Linked DNA regions of Lytechinus pictus. The protein of the gene in region 2 purifies or fractionates together with the protein of the main gene of each other region. This does not show direct contact. Links are inferred from orthologs where the notes say so. Each region holds a gene or a part of one and is shown on either strand. Other genes may lie near its edges.

What was found.
Region 1: the proteins of zygotic DNA replication licensing factor mcm3-like (region 2) and DNA replication complex GINS protein PSF2-like purify together in Drosophila melanogaster (affinity purification with western blotting; 3 studies listed by BioGRID, with this or other methods). This does not show direct contact. The link is inferred for Lytechinus pictus from reciprocal best matches to the Drosophila melanogaster genes Mcm3 and Psf2.
Region 3: the proteins of zygotic DNA replication licensing factor mcm3-like (region 2) and cell division control protein 45 homolog purify together in Drosophila melanogaster (affinity purification with western blotting; 5 studies listed by BioGRID, with this or other methods). This does not show direct contact. The link is inferred for Lytechinus pictus from reciprocal best matches to the Drosophila melanogaster genes Mcm3 and Cdc45.

What each region holds. Positions count from the first base shown.
Region 1 is NC_087246.1:48,469,886-48,476,922, forward strand, and holds the start of DNA replication complex GINS protein PSF2-like, read right to left. Parts: upstream 3,057-7,037; 5' UTR 2,802-3,056; intron 2,078-2,801; exon of another isoform or gene 1,912-2,077; intron 758-1,911; 5' UTR 292-757; coding exon 87-291; intron 1-86. UniProt on the Drosophila melanogaster protein: The GINS complex plays an essential role in the initiation of DNA replication.
Region 2 is NC_087245.1:38,186,936-38,194,339, reverse strand, and holds the start of zygotic DNA replication licensing factor mcm3-like, read left to right. Parts: upstream 1-4,400; 5' UTR 4,401-4,594; coding exon 4,595-4,663; intron 4,664-7,404. UniProt on the Drosophila melanogaster protein: Acts as a component of the Mcm2-7 complex (Mcm complex) (Mcm complex) which is the putative replicative helicase essential for 'once per cell cycle' DNA replication initiation and elongation in eukaryotic cells.
Region 3 is NC_087246.1:10,233,041-10,240,259, reverse strand, and holds the start of cell division control protein 45 homolog, read left to right. Parts: upstream 1-4,146; 5' UTR 4,147-4,378; coding exon 4,379-4,429; intron 4,430-7,219.

The DNA.
Region 1 (7,037 bases), on a different chromosome or scaffold from region 2:
TGCACAAACACATATTCCATTCAATTCATTTCACTGTCCCTCTCCCAACCATTCCATCCTCCTATCACCAACCATGAATAACTTACCGACATTCATCCAATCTGGTGGTTGGATCCGGCACTTCTGTCTCTGTTTCAGATTGACAGCCATCCAGAGGGGGACCTTCATGGGTAAACTAGGATTGAACGGTCCAACGTTGCCCGCTATCAAGAAGACTTCATCGTGGGAGAAGTTGGGAACGATCGTGACCTCCTGCTTCTCTGCCAGGAACTCCACTTCAGACGGATCCATACCCACACTGTTCAATTGTTTGGATGAAAGGTCTTATGAGTATGACCTCTCTGATTGAGTGTACACAGCCAATATTTCTCTTCAAATCAGCACCATCTGAGTTGTCTTGCTTCAAGGAATATGCATCAGAGTGCAGTCTCAAGTCTTGATATTCCAATGTTCTTTAGGAAAGTAGGAGCACATCAGCCAATCTAGAACTATAAGTCCCACTTTAATCCTTTATCTGTGCTTGTGTAAAAGTGCACATGACACCTTTAAACTTTCCCTTCCCCCTTTTAAAATTCAAATTCAAGGTTTGTTTTTTTAGATCCGAAACTGACAGGTTAATTTCTTAATTTATCAGTATCATCAAATGAGGTGAGTCTGTCCCTTAGTTCATGAAAGTACATGTAAAGGCCTTGAAAGTTTGTGAAGGCAAAGTGACAAGTTTCCTGTTCTGCGGCCTCTAGTTAGTTGAAAATCAGTCCTGAAACAAGTGAGAGAAAAAAAATACATATTGAACTTAATTCAGTCAAATCAGTTGTTACATATGGGCATAAGTACAAGAAAAAATATGATTATACATTTCAATACATTCAAATTTTTAAGTGGCAGCTCTTACTTTTAAAGTTAGAATAGCCTTAGAACAGTGTCTTTGGTTGAACCCTTCTTCGTAAGAATTATTCAACCTTTTTATGAAGCCGATGGGGGGGGGGGGATACAAAGAAAAGTCCTTAGAAAGACATCAACTTCAGACACATCCTCCAGCTAAGAACAAAACCCAAACAAGATGTTGCTCTTTTCATTTACAAAATACACAAGTTTGACCATTTTCTTGTTGATCTCCATGTCAAAACATACAAAAAGAGACTTTCAGAGTTAAAATAATGCCTTATGCCATAATCCCTATATACTAGCATAGAAGCACTTTAAATCTGGCGAATTGCACTTAGTGCCTAGCCGTAGGCATGAACTTCTTTGCACATCATACGCCACCATCAGCGAAGGGAGAAAATGCATTTTCCAGCACCAATCCGGATAAGGGATTTATCCGGATCTGGGAGACCCAATATTAAATACACGCAGCTGCTGCTTCGATCCCCAGCCAAATTAAGTCACTGTTTTGTCTTTTTTAAATTATTTTTTCCCACTTTTGGTGCATTTCAAGCCAAAACAGAATAGATCTAATAATATTAATATAAAATTATAATCTTTTTTTTTTGGTCCAGTTCTTTTTAGGCTAGCCTGCCTAGGCCTATATTATTTTTGTGAAATAAAGACAAAAATCGATGAGCCCGGCCCCGTCAGGGGGATTTTGCATTATTTACCCCCTAATGGCGGCTGCACAATCGCGAGCCATCTGTGTACGAGGAGAATTTAAACAAATATATAAATGTTTAAAAAACTCCTCGAAACAGACGGCTGCAGCACTCCTAGTACCAATGAGGTCCAACATTACATGTATGGACCTCATAGGCGACATCAGTAGTATTTTGTGTCAGAAATCTTTGTGAAGATGATTATTTTTGTATTTTATCAAAACTACAAGCTATCGTACTGTCTAATCATTACATTTCGATCTCACTAATTGAATACATTGTTAGCAATAAAAAAAATTGAAAGAAATGAAGGGGAACTTACATTTTCACGGCTTTTTCCTGATTTTCTGGGCAACTGCTCTTCTCTTCTGACTCGCGATCGAAGCTGATATGAAGATCACGTGATTCGCGTTCTCGTCAGCTGATCGGTTGGTTATTCTTTTCGTCAGACGTTAATAATATATATTTTATAATGCTAGCATTCATCGCTAATTTAGGTGAAAGAGATTGAAGTTAAACAGCGCCAGGTCGGAATCATAATTATTTTGGAAGAGTGTATTTATACACTCGATCTCATACCTGACGTAGACGGCGCTATTCAACAAATGCACAATCTATTTAAAAATAAAACAGAAAGAACGCCTTGAACACAGGCCAAAATGCCTAACGATTTCTCCGCGGCATTAACAACAATCGTAAAGGGCGCTCCATTTATCAATAAAGATGGATGCTAAGCTGTCTATGGCGACAAAATTTGCCGCAAATATTTACGAAGAATTGTGAGAAATGGTCTGAAAATGCAACAAAAGAACCGGTGAGTACCGATTAAACATTATCAATTTATTTAATAGAACATATTTAATTACTACAATGTAACGATTTCTAGATAATATTGCTTAGTTCTAAGCTAGGGAGGCCCAAACGCGCGTGAGCGGAGTCCCACTTTATTAGCACGGGTAAGTATTGGGGTGTCGCCTAGAGTGGGCTGCAGCTGCCACTTGTGCCAGCGCCAGCTGTCTACTACTAACTTGTTAGGCCTACGCGAATTACAACGAATGGGACCAGGGTAAGTAGTTCACCCAAAGCTTTGATCTTGTCTTGTCATGTCTTTATGAACCTCAGAGTCAGAACTTTTGATTGATCTTAGATTTAAAACAAAAACGAGAAAAGCATTAATCGTATGATCATTCCCAACCAATGCATAATACATACCATGTTAAAATATCTCCCAAACCCATAAATAGAATGGATACAACTTGTCCAAATTCGCTCAATCTAATTTCCCGCTGGTGTATTATTATTTCGCTGTTTCTTCAATCTTCATTCTCTCGATCTCTCTCATGCATCTCGGCGGCTAATTGGCTAAAGCTGCAAAATTTTGGCCGAGTTACTACCTCAGCGAAATCCCATTAAAAGGCGAGGGGAATTTCCGGGGGAATTTCACCCCGACGAAAAGTTTTAGTGATCGAATATCAGAAAAAAAAAAAAAAAAATTGGTAAAGGTTTGAGGACAATCCATCACAGATTTCAAAAAAGGAGAAAAAAGGGGAAAGAGAAGAGAAACGGGATAAGAATAACATAAAGTTAAAGGAGAGGATTTAAGGAATCGGGGAAGAAAAGTGAAGAAAATGAGAGGAGGGGAGAATAACAAAGAGCAAACATTTTCGCTTTTTCTTGTCTCCATATCATAACAAAACTTATGTTAACCCTTCAAGGTTTCATGATAGAAAATTAAAATTATTACATTTTTTCCATAACCTATTATGCATTATCATTATCTTGATTGTCACTGTGGTGAAATCAAATCAAGCAAATGTTGATTTTTTTTTCTCGCACGCTTCGCCCGCTCGCAATATGCTATTGTAAAAAATAAAAAGGCAAACGGGTATTTATATGTTGTTGTTTGTTGGAAATTAATGGCGACCAGTCATATTTGACTATTACCGCCAACTCGTTTGGTCAACTATTATTTTCTTTCTTTTCTTTGACGTGTCCTTTATAATCGTTCCTCTCCTTTCTTTGTTTGTTTTTGTTTTTTGTTTTTTAATAATAATTTTTATTATTATAAAGGCTATCGTATCTTACAGGTTACCGCATGATCCCGTCCCTTCTAGCGACACCGTCCAGACATCGTCCTGTCTCTCCGGTGTAGACAGGGGGCTCCCCCCGGGGGGGGCACTCAGTATATAATGCATAGTGGGTATGTGCCGCGGAGGGGACCCCCATTTTTACACTCAAATTTCCGTTCCGAGGCATAGCATTTTTGTCTTATTGAGAAAAAGAACAAAGAAAGCCGCTCCAAAGCATAGCATTTTCTTCTTTTCGAGAAAAAAGAAGAAAAAAATCCGCTCCAGGGCATCGCATATTTTCCGTTACGCCGTTCCGGTCGCAATTTTGGTGAAAAGCGGCCGCAGCTCGCTGCCCGACCATCGCCTCTGCGCTAGCGCGCCCGTCAGTCGTGCCGCCGGGCTATAGCTGCATGCACGTTCCATAGGGATGCATACGCACTCGCACGCAGGCGACCCGTTCCAAGGACCCCCGTTTTCACAAACATTTGTAGTTCCGAGCCCGTTCCGAGGACCCTCCTTTTTACAATAAGCCCGCTCCAAGGCCCCCGTTTTTTGTCTCGCCCGCGGCACACCCCTACCACTTTTTTGGTCGAGTGCCCCCCCCGGGGGGCTCCCTTTGGGATACTCTATAGTCTTGAAACTCGGAAAATAAATAGAGCAATAAACTGTTAAAGAGTCTTTTCCCGTGAAATGATCTCGCATATAATTACCAATCAAATACATGTATGTCTGTTTTGTTTTGTAAAGAGAAAATATAAAATTTGATATGGGGAGGTTCGGATTATTCGAAATTTATGGGGGCATCCAAAATGAGGGCTTTAATAAATGAAATGGTGCATTGTTAAATCAAGGTTGTAAGTTAGATGGATATGATCGAGTTAGTAAAAAAAAAAAATATATGTATATACACACACATGCATATACATTTTTTTTTCAATTTCTTCATCTTTATTCTTTTTCCTTTCATTTCTTCTCCTCTTCCTTCCATTTTCTTCTTTTTTTTTCTTTTCTTTTTTCCTCCTTCCTTTCCTTTTCCTTTCTTTTCCCTTTTATTTTCTCTTTATTATTTCCTTTGTCTTTCTCAGTTTTTTCTCTTTTCTCTTCTTTTTTTTTCTCTTTTTCTTTTTTTTTCAAAATGATAATGAGCTCTACTGAATACAAGGAATATAACCCAGAGGGAAGAGAGATACATCTTATTCTAAAACAAACAGAACAATAACCATCGTCTCATGTGGTCATCATACTCATATAAATGACATATATATATACACAAATACACACATATGTACCTATATGAACAAATAAATAATTACATACTAATCAAATAGATATATTTCTCTCTTTCGTTCACGAAAAAAAAAAAAAAAAACAGTGCATTTTGGACACCTGGGTCCCAAGAATTCAGGAGCCTAAGGATTTCCTCGGGATCGGCGATGTCTGCCTCGACAAGAAGCATCGACCTTTCAATTATATACTTAGGGCATTTTACAATGTAGTGTTCAATTGTTTCTTTCTCCGGACATGAATTGCACTGTCCCGTTGGGTGTATTTTCATTCGCCAGAGATCTTCATTTAGTCCTATATGACCTAATCGGAGTCGACGAAATATCTTTTCTCTTGCTATATACATACACATACATACATTTATGTTTATTGGTTACTTGTTGTATACACTGACATACACACACACCCACCCTCACACGTAGAGAATGGGCGGGGGCATAAATACACATACATACATTTATGGCTATTATAGTATTGGTTACTTTAATTGTATACACTGACATTTTTTAAAATACTGTTTTTATTCTGATTTCATGAACAAATAGTTACATAACATTTCAAATTTTTTTCCTTTTTTTTTTCTGTTCTTATTATAAATTGAAATAAATCACAAAATTTACAAATGATTATTAGGTGATTGCAAATCACATAAACACAAGTTAATTATACAAAAAAGACAAAATAACCATAATAATAAAAAAAAAAACCTACCCACTTATCCTCCCCCACCCCCCAAAAAAGGAATGTGGCAAAGTGATAACTTAATATCAGTGTTATCTAAACAAAGATAGGTGATTTGGTAAATAAAGTAGACAAAACAAAATATACAAGCTATGATTATAAAATGGTTTCCCAACAACTATTGATAGGATTAAAAAACACAACTAGTTATCCAAGACGACATAAATATGGAGGTATTTAAACGAACAAGTATATCAAGGAAACTGAGATACAAGTTGCATTAAAAAAATGGGAACTGATGTCTACAACCATATAACCAATACAGTGCAGTATTACTTTTAAAAAATGGGGCACTAAGCCTGTTATACAAAATATACATTATTAGTTATCATGTAACCTGTTGACATTTTTGAAAACCAAATTATAAGGTGAATCGCCACTTCTTAAAGTGAGCGGGCAACTTATTTTTTTTCTTAGCTATCAAATATTCCAAGTCCTGTTGTTTTTTAAAAAAATTTTTAAAAAGAGCATAACTTGGAGGATTATTCTTAAATGTACATGTATGAATATAATACTTCAAAAGTAAGAAAAGGTATGAAATGAACTTATCAGCTGGGAGTCCAAACATTTTTTCAAAATTAGAACCATTTATTTGAACATTATTTTGGGAAATTTTTGTTAAAAGGGATTGCCAAATAGGAATTACCCTTTCACATTCGCAAAACAGGTGGACTATTGTTACCTCACTTTTATCACAGAAAACACAATTGGGTGAGTCCTTAGATTTAATCTTATATAAAAAATCATTTAATGCTATGGCTTTATGAAAAATCTTAAAATAGAATGATCTTAATTTAGTATCAATGGTACAAAAAAAATTGTATAATGTACCTTTTCCCAATCGATAGATACTGGTATTGGTAAATGTTCATCCCAATAAGTGTATCTTTTGACAGGTGTGTGTGATCCCCTAAATAAAATGTATGAATTTCTAGGGACTTTTTTATAACTCAACAATTTATGTACAATTGTTTCATGAACACCTATAATATCAGGGTCAAAACTCATCAACCATTCTTCCGGGATGCACTCAATTAAAAAATTACATTTCCTTCTGTCTGTTTGGGGGATTCCAAAATCTAACACAAGCTCTTCAAAGATTTTGTGGCCTAAAAGAGGGGGATTAAATAAGTCTGACATCATTAAGACATTTCTCTCATGCCACATTGGATAATTAAGATACTGTTTAGTTTTTGAACGAATGAATTTGTTATACCACAGAAGTTGACAACCACTCAAGTCTGAAAATTTGTTACCATAAAATTCGACAGCAGCTTCCTCCCTATAAATGAATACCACATTCACAATGCTTCAGATAATTGTATATTACCAAGACTGTTTAAAATGCTCTCAG
Region 2 (7,404 bases):
AATTATGTAAGATAAAGGAAATGCAGTAGTCCGTGATACTATTGAATATTACAATTCATTTTCCAAAATGATGGCAATTATGTAAGTAGAGGGTTCTGTGCAGATTTGTCTGTCATAGCGGCCACCTTTCATCATGGCATTTTGTATATTCTCATAAATTATGATTATTAAACGCTCTATGACGAGGGAATTTACTGCAATTTTTTCAGATCATTTTATACTGCACGCAATTTTATATTGGATAATTTGTTTGAATTTACAAGTGTTGCCCGTGTATAAAGGGGAATGTGTAAAGGCCGAATGTGATGTATTTTGTCCATTTTAATTTATTTCAAAAAGAAGAAAATGAATTGGTTTATTTCAGTTTTAGAATTGTGAACAGAATATCAATATGGTAGCATTTTTTGGTGTGATCATGTATTATGTATTTATCCATATATGGATTTGTAATTTTGATGTAGATTTTGTCCAAAAGAAAGATAACTAGCACAGGAAATGTTCCCTATTATGAAAAAAGTGTACATTTGTACAGTAGCAAGTGTAAATTTCAGAGAACACTTTATTTGTTTTATTTCTGTACAAATGTTTATGTTTTACATCCCTCCTCATGTACACAAAATTGTGAAATAGAATTGGCCCTCTATATATGTTGTACTTTTCTGAATGATATTTGTGTATTGGTCCGAAGTCGAGTGTATTCATCCGTTTGTAAAGTAGATGATTGTAAACTTTTTTTGTCCTAAGGTACAAGCTTTTTGAGATTGTTTAATTGAAAGCAAACAAAACTGTGGAAACAAATAAAATAAGTCATTTGTAGAAAACCAGCTTTCCAAGTATACATCGTTATGATTGTTACTTCAAGTTGGTATGTAAGGTTTCTTTTGGGATAAAAAAAAAAGCAGATTGCAGATTTTTATTACTGATTTCTTTGTTCTTGTCAAATAAACAAAAATGAAAATTAGACACAAGAAGTTAGCATCCAAGGGGGAAAATGTCTGAAAGTGAGCTTTACAAAAATGGTTGGTTGACTTGCTATGAAAGTTTCTAGCTGTCAATTATAAAATGTCTTGAAGGAATCAAACCATATACCATTGATGTTGAAAAAATAGTAGTTGATAAATTCTCATGGAAATTTGTTCATTTGTATAGATTTAGTCAATTTCTTTCTTGGATATTCTGAATTTACAATCTTGATTTATTATTCTCTTTCCCTTCATCAATGTTTGGTCAAGCCATATCGTGTGCATGTCATTTTGTGTAAAATTGCCTGCATGAAAAATAGAAATGTCTTGTTTTAAATATTTTTATGTGAATATCTCTTTTTCATGGATTTTTATTATTCTATCATTGCATATTATCACTATTTTTTGGTGCGCCTGCCTATTGAATGGTGATTGTAAAAAAAAATTGTTTGTGCATAGTACATTGTCAATTGTTGATTTTTGTTTCTTAACTTGACTGAATTGGTGAATGGGAAAGTGATTAGCAGTATTATTAAGTCACCCCAACCAGTAGGTAGGCACTTCAGATTGGAGTGTATCTTATATAAGCTGTACACATTGTAAAGCGAGGAACATACTCATTTTTTTCTTTCTCTTTGTACAACATGTAAGAAAAGTAATAAAAGAGTGTGTTAAAAAAATCATCTGAACATGACTTGTGTCTGTATTTAATTTCTTGGCATGTTGTAGATTGCAGAAGCAATATGGAGCAATTGCCAGGACCCTGTTCCATAAATATAGGTATTATGATAATTTTGCCATCTAATGGTAACTCTGTTTGAATTCTTGATTCTTATTGGCTGTTGGGTATTGTTGCCATGGTAGTTACAATAAGCCAGTTCACGGTTAGCTCATGATCAACTTTTTTCAAATGACCTTTGTGATTTTTCATTAGGATAAGCACTATCATTTTCAAATGTAGATGCTGCGTAAGCTTTACTGGTAGAGTATTCAAATTCTAAGAACAAAAGGCATTATATAGACCAGGTGACTAGAATAGTACATCAGGGATAAAGTTTGGAAATCTGTTTTATTGTCTGCCTTTGGTACATTTGACTATTGTGTAGGCTACTGTCAAATACCAGTGATTATGAAGGCTCTATTTATTACTCTTCAGCTTGGATGTGATAAATATTTTGAAAGGAATATATGAATAATTTGAAACAGAGGGTCGTGTGTTTGAATCGTAGCCATGGCGTATTTTCCTTCAGCAAGAAATTTATCCACACTGTGCTGCACTCGACCCAGGTGAGGTGAATGGGTACCCGGCAGGAGTAATTCCTTGCATGCACTGAGCGCCGGTGATGGTAGCTCGAGCTAAAGCCGGGGTAATAATAGCAGTGCTTTGTATCCTCTGGCAAAAAGCGCTTTATAAATCCAACTATTATTATTATTATTATTATTAATCATCAAATAATGCCTATGTCAGTGAATTTGAAAGCCACCTTCATGGTTGTCTCCAATGACCTTTTTCTGCTCGTGCGCAGTTTACAACCGTGAACAGGCTTATTGGATGGCAGAGTTCCCATCGTGCAATGTGACCCAGTAGTGTGTGTTTCACCATGAACCTATTAACATTTAAAGTGATTGGCCCGTATTCTGAAGTCGGGTTTAACTCAAACTCAGGTTTAAAGTTGTGGTTTAAGTATGGATAGCCAATTGCTAAATAAATCGCTAAGAGTAGAGATATCATATTCCAGCTCATTTGGCTGTCAAATCATTCATAATTGTCTAGGAAATATAAATAGATGATTGTCTTCACCATTGAAGAATAAGGAAAGAGCACAGTAAATATAAGATGCATACAACTTAATAAAAATTTTGACACTTTTGGCTTCCCATAATTTTAGCAGAGTTAGACCATGGTCTAAGTTAAACCTGACTTCAGAATACTGGCCATTCTGTCTATGATTGAATGAGACGTCCCACTTACCTTGCATCTTAATGAGAACCTTCAATTAAAATTATCCTTGTAATTTAAAGGGAAAGTTAACCCTGGCAAAAGTTTATTGAGAAATTAGCAGAAAAGTAATATTGGTGAATGTTTAAGGAAAATCCATCAAAGATCAAAAAACTTATTTGAAGTTAGGATTTTATTGATTTGTGACATCATATGCAAGCAATTTCCCATGTGTAGTGAATTAAAACTAACAAAATATCATTTTCTCAAAAATTCAAAAATTGTTTTTTTTTTATTGTACCTTCAGTATATCCACTGACAAGTAATTTCACTCAATCTCCTGCAAGAAAAATGTTAGTCATCATGGACCATGAAAAAAATTGAAATTCATGTATTTTATATTACATAATTTTCTTGATCTTTGATTGATTTTCCCCAAACCTTCACCAATATCTTCTTATTTTTTATGGTATTTTACAACAAGCTTTTTGTCAGGGTGAACTTCCCCCTTCAGGAGCACTTCTTTCCATCGGGAGCTCTTTATAGCAGAAACTACAAATTCAAGAAAAAAATCCCAAAACGATTATTTTTTAAAGTTATTATTATGGATTCAAATATGCAAATTTATCCACAAAAACATTATTTGCATATTTTCAGTTAAATTCCATCAATTCAAGTTTTATTTCACATCTCATAAAAAACTTTTAAATAACACGTACAATGCATTGTATACATACACATTCATATGAATACACATGATAAATAGAAAAAAATCATTAAAAACAAATCTAAAAGCAAATAAAAGATGGAAATGTAATATATATATAATACAGGAGACATAAAAAGATAAAGAGTGAATAACATTACATAGCAGATATATATAGTGGATGGTAGATATATAGTGGATGTGGGGGATCCGCAATAAACGATTGGCTTGTCTAAGGCGATCCCTTGTATTCTGAAACAAAACAGATTAAAATGAATTAGAATATAAGCAAGTCAGAAAAGGAGAGCGCATAGACTCTAGTCTACACCATAAGAGAAAAAATATAATAGGGGGTTAACATGCAAGGAATTTACATATTTTCTTTTTACGTTTCTGAAAAATCATGTGAAACTTTGAGGGGGTCATCGTGCCCCCCCCCCCCCCCCCACACACACATGCCTCATTATTTGTAAAAGTCTATACGGGTGCAATTTTCTTATGATTTTTTTTCATGTAAAAGTCTGTCATTGACATTGAATGGAATTGCTAATAATATAGGTTTATTATATATACACATGACATATTTTTTTTGCATAAATCGCCCATTTCAATCAGTGTACGTGTGTGGCCTATGATATAAAGGCCGAGTATTAGCTGGTACTGCTGGTATGTAATAATTCTAGAAATTTCATTTTATTTCATCATGATACAAAGGAGTCTGTGGACTGTAGACTAGTCTATTCAGATAGCCAATCAGTGAACTAGAATTAGTTAAAGGTCCCGCGGGTTGATCAATCACATGTTGATCGTGGCGCGAAAATTGTGTGCGATGCACGTTCGTGTGTTTTGTGCATAAAGATCGGGCATTTAAACTGCATGTACACTGCACTGGCGCAGATATTCTTTGTTTACATGCATGAAAAGTGTGGACTTCTTCTAGTTTCTGTCACATTTCCTTCAGTTAAAAAGAAACTTCCGAGCTAAATCATGGATACCGACATTGATCAACAGTTGAGAGATTACCAGCGTGAATATCTAGAATTTCTGGACGATGATGTAAGTTTGAATGATTAATTTTGTTGCCTGTTGGCTGTTGGACGTTTTTGTTTTCTCTTGTTGTCTGTTGATGGAAGTAACAACAGTTAAAAGTTGCATGAAATTGAATGAAAATTTGAATTTGATTTTGAAACTTGATGTCGTTAAGGTACGCGAGAATAATTTTAGAAAAATATTAATATTCACGTCTTAGATCTAGGCCTAATTAAAGCTCACCTGCCCACAATTATAAGTTAGAGTTTTCTTTCTTCTAACTTCTAACTAACGTTAATAATAATAAGTCTAACGCGTTGCCATAATAATCAACACTTTGATTGTGGGCATCAACGGAAAGACAAGACAAGTTGGATCTGTTTCTAATTATTTATAGTTACGTTCATGAGTCATTAACCGTTTTTTTTTAACGGAAGCTTATTAGGCCTAGGCCTATATATTTTTTTTCTAGCATTAAAGATAAATCTATTGACATCATCATGATCTAATTTTCTAATCTAGGCCCTAGAATAGATCTAGATTAAATTAAATTTAAAGATCAAGTCCACCCCAGAAAAAAATTTGATTTTAATCAATAACATTAGAGAAAAATCAAACAATAACGTTGAATATTTCATCAAAATCGGATGTAAAATAGGAAAGATATGAGTTAAAGTTTCGCTTATTTTTCACAAAGCAGTTAACTGAGTTATATTCACAACTCAGTCTCATGCAGCAACATGCAAATGAGATCTGGGGGGCGTTTCATGAAAGGACTTGTCGGACGTTTTATCCGACAAGTCCCATTTTATCCGACAGTTACCATATAGGAACAGTGCCTCTCAGCCAATCAAAATCATGGAAAGATGTCAGATCTGACAACTTGTCGGATGAAAATATTGATGAAACGCTCCCCTGGATGTATATGGTGGCCCTCCAGTCCTGGGCATAAATGCATCAGGTACTTGACCTCATTGGTGGCGGAGCAGAGGATTATATTTTGTGTTTGGGGGGGGGGAGGGGACGCGTATTGTTGCGTCCCCCCAAACACAGAAGATAATCCTTTGCTCCGCCGCCAATGCTTGACCTGGATTTTACCGGGACCGCGGCAGAGAGTCAATGATGTCCCTCACTCACTATTTCTTTTGTTTTTTGTTTGAATTATACAATATTTCAATTTTTACAGATTTGACAATAAGGACCAGCTTTACTGAACCATAAAAGTTAGAAACAATTTAATTCCTCGTGTTCATGGAGGAAGAAAACCTATTTTACCTTCCAATGAGGAGAAAATTAAAATATTTCATATAAGAGAATACAAAAGAAATAGTGACGAGTGAGTGACGTCATCAGTCCCCTCATTTGTATACCAACCAGGATGTGCATATAGCTGTTTTGTGAAATTAGCAAAACTTCAAAATGTCATAACTTTCCTATTTTGCATCCGATTTTGATGAAATTTCAGTGTTATATGCTTCTTGGATTTTCTCTATTTGTTTAAAACAACTTTTTGTTGGGGTGAACTTGTCCTTTAGTTTAAGTTAGATCGAACGTTAGGCCTAATGTAGGCCTGCCCTTGGCTTGGGTGTGTTCAATGCAATGTTGGTTTCCAAATTTAAACCTTAGCTATTCTACCAACGTTGGGCCTAACTTAACTTGAATCATGAATGATTGTAAACATGGAAACAAAAAAGGGTGTGCATTAAAAAAATGTCCTCCATTCTCATTCATCTATATAAGTTACTATAGTATGTAGATCTAGACTAAAGTCTAGATCTAGATCGATCTAACAAAAAAAGTTAGATCTAGATCTAAATTTAATAAATGTCTTTCAAATCATGTTTCAGAGGAAAATTTAATTAAACATTGAAAAAGATGCGTTGGTAAACTCTATCAGCTCAGATTTTACAACCTTCAGCATCGCGATCGAATGTGCAACTCTGAACATGATTGAGCTTTCAAACTCTAAATTTGCTCTCGCAGTGCAGTCAAAACCTAGCTGCTCGAGCAGGTGCCAGCTAGAATTGACCTGATTTCTAATTGTGACTGATGAGTCAAACTACACACTAAAGTTAAACTGTGCTATAAGTATAACGAAATGAAAGCGGGAAATTTAAAGGTGATCAACAAATAAGCTTTATATTTTCGACACTGAACATTGCACCGCTGATCGTGTTCTGTGTTTTGTAATTCAACAAGATTTGTTGCTATTTAAATTTAAAAATCGACATTGAACACACTGACCATATGCAATTAAAAGGCCAATTTGACTGATTTCAAAAGTGGTCAGTGGCAAGGGTGGATCCAGGATTTTCCAAAAGGGGGAGGCACATTTTCCCTGAGGAAAATTTGACCCCCCCAAAAAAGTTTCTCCCAAGTTTTAAGGTCATTTCGTCCACAAACAAAATTTGACAAGAAAAAAAAGAGTAAAAAGGGGGTGAGGGCACATTAGAGTTATAAAGTTATAGAGGTATATGTACATTACAAATTTTGATTGTGCCCCTCGAAAGGGGGGGGGGGACAAGGGCCGACTGTGCCGCCCCCCCCCCCCCCCTGATCCACAAGTGGTCAGTGGGTTGAACATTTATCATTAGTTGTAATGTGTTTAGATCTGACTTATCAAAGTTTGGTGGCTTATAAATTAGCCTTTGAAACCAAAAATGACATAACAAATACTTCGCATGTTACCCTAGGCCTAGATGTACTGTATGTTAGAATTATTATAGGGGTCTAGAATAATTGGTGAGAAAAAAGAGAAATCAACTTCA
Region 3 (7,219 bases), on a different chromosome or scaffold from region 2:
TAAGTACAGAATACATTTCGTTTCTTCTAAATTTTTAAATTGGCAATTTTATAAAGTATCCCCGTGCCGAAATTACTTCTAACTTCAGCATATTACCTTTTGACCCTCATCCGCGGGAAAAATGAAATAGTATTGGAGCCTATTGTCATCAGATTTATTATATTTACTTCCAAGTCAGCAACATTATGTTCATTACAGACATTAAAACACAATTCTATGACGTTATTCTACATCATGTAAGTATTTTCTACTGTGTTTTCATTGTGTGAACTTGATATGAATTCTATTCGTTTGTATTTAATTTCATCGCCGTCTTTCCAAGTACGGTCCCACCCGCTCAAATCGATGTTTGTTACTAAGTCTAAGAGTAAGAGTTATTTTTTTTTGCAGTGTTATTTTTTCAGTCACAGTCACTCACATACTAGACCAAAAGCTTCAGTCTCTGTATTTTGGTTGTTCCGCTGAACTACGTTGGCTCCACTCACCATACATAGACTGAAGGGGATGGGGCCCCGTACCTACAGCCAACGTATAGTGAACTAGCGTTTTATAGATCGCGATTTAAAACTGTTTTTGGCTTAACTGCAGAATACCCCGACACTGCTCACTACCCAATCGTTGGTCAGCCAACACAACGATGTCAAGACCTATAGCTATATACTAATTCAATGGTATATAGCCTAGATATATCCATACTATTATATACGTACATGCATTACTGGTACTACTACTACTACTATACTACGTACGTACGTACGTATGACGGTACGTACGAGCAATGCATCCAGGCCATACGTAATGACCTTTGCCCTTTGACTACTACTAGAGCTATAATTAAACATCGTTGGGTGCGCTGCTAGCCAACGACCCACGTTGTGACGGTACGGACGGTGCAATATAATATTCAAAACATCGCTAGCCAACGACCAACGATGTGACGGTGCCATGTAACATTTAAAACATCGTTGGCTAACCAACGACCCACGATGTGAAGGTGCAATAGTACAAGATTAATACACTCTTTTAAATTACCTACTACTACTAGCTATTGCTATACATCGTTGGGTGCGCCGCTAGCCAACGACCAACGATGTGACCGTGCAATGCAACATTCAAAACATCGTTGGCAAGCGTTTCAAAGTATGGTTTCACAAAACAGTTTAATATATGCATATCCTGGTTAGTGAGGTGATCGATGTCATTCACTCTCTATTTCTTTTGTATTTTTTATACATGAAATATTTTCATTTTTTCTTCATTAAAATATGAAATAAAGTTTTAATTCCCATTGAAGGAATTCAATGGGAATTGAATTCAATTAGGGTTAGGGTTAGGGTTAGGGTTAGGGTTAGGGTTAGGGTTTAGGGTTAGGGTTAGGGTTAGGGTTAGGGTTAGGGTTTAGGGTTAGGGTTAGGGTTTAGGGTTAGGGTTAGGGTTAGGGTTAGGGTTAGGGTTTAGGGTTAGGGTTAGGGTTAGGGTTAGGGTTAGGGTTAGGGTTTAGGGTTAGGGTTAGGGTTTAGGGTTAGGGTTAGGGTTAGGGTTAGGGTTAGGGTTAGGGTTATATTCACATCGTTGGCATCGCCGGCAATGTTGGCCTCTACAACAGGCATATTCACATCGTTGGCATCGCCGGCAATGTTGGCCTATGTAAGATACATTCACATCGTTGGCACTGTTGGCATCTACTACAGGCACCAACACATCGTTGGCATCGCGGGCGCTGTTGGTATATACATACTAAACATACATTCACATCGTTGGCATCGCCGGCAAAGTTGGCCTATACTTACTAAAGATACATTCACATCGTTGGCATCGCCGGCAATGTTGGCCTCTACTACAGGCATATTCACATCGTTGGCATCGCCGGCAATGTTGGCCTCTACTACAGGCATATTCACATCGTTGGCATCGCCGGCAATGTTGGCCTATGTAAGATACATTCACATCGTTGGCACTGTTGGCATCTACTACAGGCACCAACACATCGTTGGCATCGCGGGCGCTGTTGGTATATACATACTAAACATACGTTCACATCGTTGGCATCGCCGGCAAAGTTGGCCTATACTTACTAAAGATACATTCACATCGTTGGCATCAATGGCAAGGTTGGCCTGTACTACAGACACCAACACATCGTTGGCATCCTGGCCGGCGCTGTTGGCCTATACGTACTAAAGATACATTTACATTGTTGGCATCGTTGGCACTGTTGGCATCTACTACAGGCACCAACACATCGTTGGCATCGCGGGCGCTGTTGGCCTATACATACAAAAGATACATTCACATCGTTGGCATCGCGGGCAAGGTTGGCCTATACTACAGACACCAACACATCGTTGGCATCCTGGCCGGCGCTGTTGGCCTATACGTACTAAAGATACATTTACATTGTTGGCATCGTTGGCACTGTTGGCATCTACTACAGGCACCAACACATCGTTGGCATCGCGGGCGCTGTTGGCCTATACCTACTAAAGATACATTCACATCGTTGGCATCGAGGGCAATGTTAGCCTGTACTCTACAGTACAGACACCAACACATCGTTGGCATCGCGGGCAATGTTGGTCTACATAGGAAACTACAGATATGATCGCATCGTTGGCATCACGGGCACTGTTGGCATGTACTACAGACACCAACACATCGTTGCCATGGTGGGCAATGTTGGTTTACATAGGCAACTACAGATATGATCGCATCGTTGGCATCGAGGGCAATGTTGGCCTGTACTACAGACACCAACACATCGTTGGCATCGCGGGCAATGTTGGTCTACACATACTACGGAAATATACACATCGTTGGCATCGCGGACACTGTTGGTCTACATACTACAGAACACAGATATAGATCGTTGGCATCGAGGGCAGTGTTGGCCTGTACCGACTACAGACACCAACACACCGCTACCATCGCGGACTGTGTTGGCCTACACGTACTACGAAAATATACACATCGTTGGCATCGCGGGCAATGTCGGCCTACATACTACAGATGCACACAGATATATATATAGATCGTTGGCATCGCGGGCAGTGTTGGCCTGTACTACGGACACCAACGCACCGCTAGCATCGCGGACTGTGTTGGCCTACACGTACTACGAAAATATACACATCGTTGGCATCGTGGACACTGTTGGTCTACATACTAATCGCGCGCGCTCGCATCGTTAGCGTTACAGTGCAGTCTGAACACTTAGAATCTATTCAAAAAATACTTGTAAGTTGTAAATCATTCAATTATTTATTATAGCTGATTTTCTGATTTGATAGCTTAAGTACATCGTTGTGCGTTGGCTCTCCAACGATAAGGTAACGCAGTGTCCGGGTATTCTGCAGTTGTTCCCTGTTTTTTAAGCAAAATTGAAAGTTTCATGGTTTCCATTATCAGGGAAATATAAATAATAATTAGTAATTGCATACCTTGGGCCGGAGTTATTGAAAAAAATCCTCTGGATGATTGAGAAATCTGTCATCTAAGACATTTTCACCTGACCTGACGGTTTTTCTTGCAAGTTGCCATCTTGAATGACGTCATTATCGTTATTAACTTAATGTCTCGAATCGATATATCGCGATTATAACTAGTACTAGTACTAGTATAACTAGTATCGTTTATCTTCGGTTTCGTTCGCATATGGAGCAGATCGTATAATATCGAAAGCAATATCGATATCACATTCGTGATTGTTGACGTTCGTTTGTAAATATTTTATAGTTTGGCTGCCATTTTGACCATTTTTATCGTGTTCAACCCAATTAAACATCGGTAAAGTATATTTTTCATGCCTTTTTCATCTATATCGTTTAAAGTGTTTAAAAATTAAATTAATTAATACGTTAAGCTCCATATTAACCTATATTGAGCAAGATATGAATCTCATCGAACGTCAGACAAGGAGAACGTGAATGAAAATTTTATATCGTGACATGAATTTTTTTTTAAAGTCTTCCCCTCACCTTTTTTATTCACTTGTCTCCCTCCTCTTCATTTCCCCCTCTTTTTTCTTCTATCTTTCCCTTCTTTTTTTCGTTCTTTCTCTCCTTTTTTTGCTCAGCCAATTTTTTTCAGGGGGGGGGGGGGCACGTGCCCACCTGCCCCCCCCCCCCCCCCCCCGCCCGCGCCGTATGTATAGCTACGCCACTGCATATGAGTTACATCAAGATCAATACCTCTTCTAAGTACAGAATACATTTCGTTTCTTCTAAATTTTTAAATTGGCAATTTTATAAAGTATCCCCGTGCCGAAATTACTTCTAACTTCAGCATATTACCTTTTGACCCTCATCCGCGGGAAAAATGAAATAGTATTGGAGCCTATTGTCATCAGATTTATTATATTTACTTCCAAGTCAGCAACATTATGTTCATTACAGACATTAAAACACAATTCTATGACGTTATTCTACATCATGTAAGTATTTTCTACTGTGTTTTCATTGTGTGAACTTGATATGAATTCTATTCGTTTGTATTTAATTTCATCGCCGTCTTTCCAAGTACGGTCCCACCCGCTCAAATCGATGTTTGTTACTAAGTCTAAGAGTAAGAGTTATTTTTTTTTGCAGTGTTATTTTTTCAGTCACAGTCACTCACATACTAGACCAAAAGCTTCAGTCTCTGTATTTTGGTTGTTCCGCTGAACTACGTTGGCTCCACTCACCATACATAGACTGAAGGGGATGGGGCCCCGTACCTACAGCCAACGTATAGTGAACTAGCGTTTTATAGATCGCGATTTAAAACTGTTTTTGGCTTAACTGCAGAATACCCCGACACTGCTCACTACCCAATCGTTGGTCAGCCAACACAACGATGTCAAGACCTATAGCTATATACTAATTCAATGGTATATAGCCTAGATATATCCATACTATTATATACGTACATGCATTACTGGTACTACTACTACTACTATACTACGTACGTACGTACGTATGACGGTACGTACGAGCAATGCATCCAGGCCATACGTAATGACCTTTGCCCTTTGACTACTACTAGAGCTATAATTAAACATCGTTGGGTGCGCTGCTAGCCAACGACCCACGTTGTGACGGTACGGACGGTGCAATATAATATTCAAAACATCGCTAGCCAACGACCAACGATGTGACGGTGCCATGTAACATTTAAAACATCGTTGGCTAACCAACGACCCACGATGTGAAGGTGCAATAGTACAAGATTAATACACTCTTTTAAATTACCTACTACTACTAGCTATTGCTATACATCGTTGGGTGCGCCGCTAGCCAACGACCAACGATGTGACCGTGCAATGCAACATTCAAAACATCGTTGGCAAGCGTTTCAAAGTATGGTTTCACAAAACAGTTTAATATATGCATATCCTGGTTAGTGAGGTGATCGATGTCATTCACTCTCTATTTCTTTTGTATTTTTTATACATGAAATATTTTCATTTTTTCTTCATTAAAATATGAAATAAAGTTTTAATTCCCATTGAAGGAATTCAATGGGAATTGAATTCAATTAGGGTTAGGGTTAGGGTTAGGGTTAGGGTTAGGGTTAGGGTTAGGGTTTAGGGTTAGGGTTAGGGTTAGGGTTAGGGTTTAGGGTTAGGGTTAGGGGTTAGGGTTTAGGGTTAGGGTTAGGGTTAGGGTTAGGGTTAGGGTTTAGGGTTAGGGTTAGGGTTAGGGTTAGGGTTAGGGTTAGGGTTTAGGGTTAGGGTTAGGGTTTAGGGTTAGGGTTAGGGTTAGGGTTAGGGTTAGGGTTAGGGTTATATTCACATCGTTGGCATCGCCGGCAATGTTGGCCTCTACAACAGGCATATTCACATCGTTGGCATCGCCGGCAATGTTGGCCTATGTAAGATACATTCACATCGTTGGCACTGTTGGCATCTACTACAGGCACCAACACATCGTTGGCATCGCGGGCGCTGTTGGTATATACATACTAAACATACATTCACATCGTTGGCATCGCCGGCAAAGTTGGCCTATACTTACTAAAGATACATTCACATCGTTGGCATCGCCGGCAATGTTGGCCTCTACTACAGGCATATTCACATCGTTGGCATCGCCGGCAATGTTGGCCTCTACTACAGGCATATTCACATCGTTGGCATCGCCGGCAATGTTGGCCTATGTAAGATACATTCACATCGTTGGCACTGTTGGCATCTACTACAGGCACCAACACATCGTTGGCATCGCGGGCGCTGTTGGTATATACATACTAAACATACGTTCACATCGTTGGCATCGCCGGCAAAGTTGGCCTATACTTACTAAAGATACATTCACATCGTTGGCATCGATGGCAAGGTTGGCCTGTACTACAGACACCAACACATCGTTGGCATCCTGGCCGGCGCTGTTGGCCTATACGTACTAAAGATACATTTACATTGTTGGCATCGTTGGCACTGTTGGCATCTACTACAGGCACCAACACATCGTTGGCATCGCGGGCGCTGTTGGCCTATACATACAAAAGATACATTCACATCGTTGGCATCGCGGGCAAGGTTGGCCTATACTACAGACACCAACACATCGTTGGCATCCTGGCCGGCGCTGTTGGCCTATACGTACTAAAGATACATTTACATTGTTGGCATCGTTGGCACTGTTGGCATCTACTACAGGCACCAACACATCGTTGGCATCGCGGGCGCTGTTGGCCTATACCTACTAAAGATACATTCACATCGTTGGCATCGAGGGCAATGTTAGCCTGTACTCTACAGTACAGACACCAACACATCGTTGGCATCGCGGGCAATGTTGGTCTACATAGGAAACTACAGATATGATCGCATCGTTGGCATCACGGGCACTGTTGGCATGTACTACAGACACCAACACATCGTTGCCATGGTGGGCAATGTTGGTTTACATAGGCAACTACAGATATGATCGCATCGTTGGCATCGAGGGCAATGTTGGCCTGTACTACAGACACCAACACATCGTTGGCATCGCGGGCAATGTTGGTCTACACATACTACGGAAATATACACATCGTTGGCATCGCGGACACTGTTGGTCTACATACTACAGAACACAGATATAGATCGTTGGCATCGAGGGCAGTGTTGGCCTGTACCGACTACAGACACCAACACACCGCTACCATCGCGGACTGTGTTGGCCTACACGTACTACGAAAATATACACATCGTTGGCATCGCGGGCAATGTCGGCCTACATACTACAGATGCACACAGATA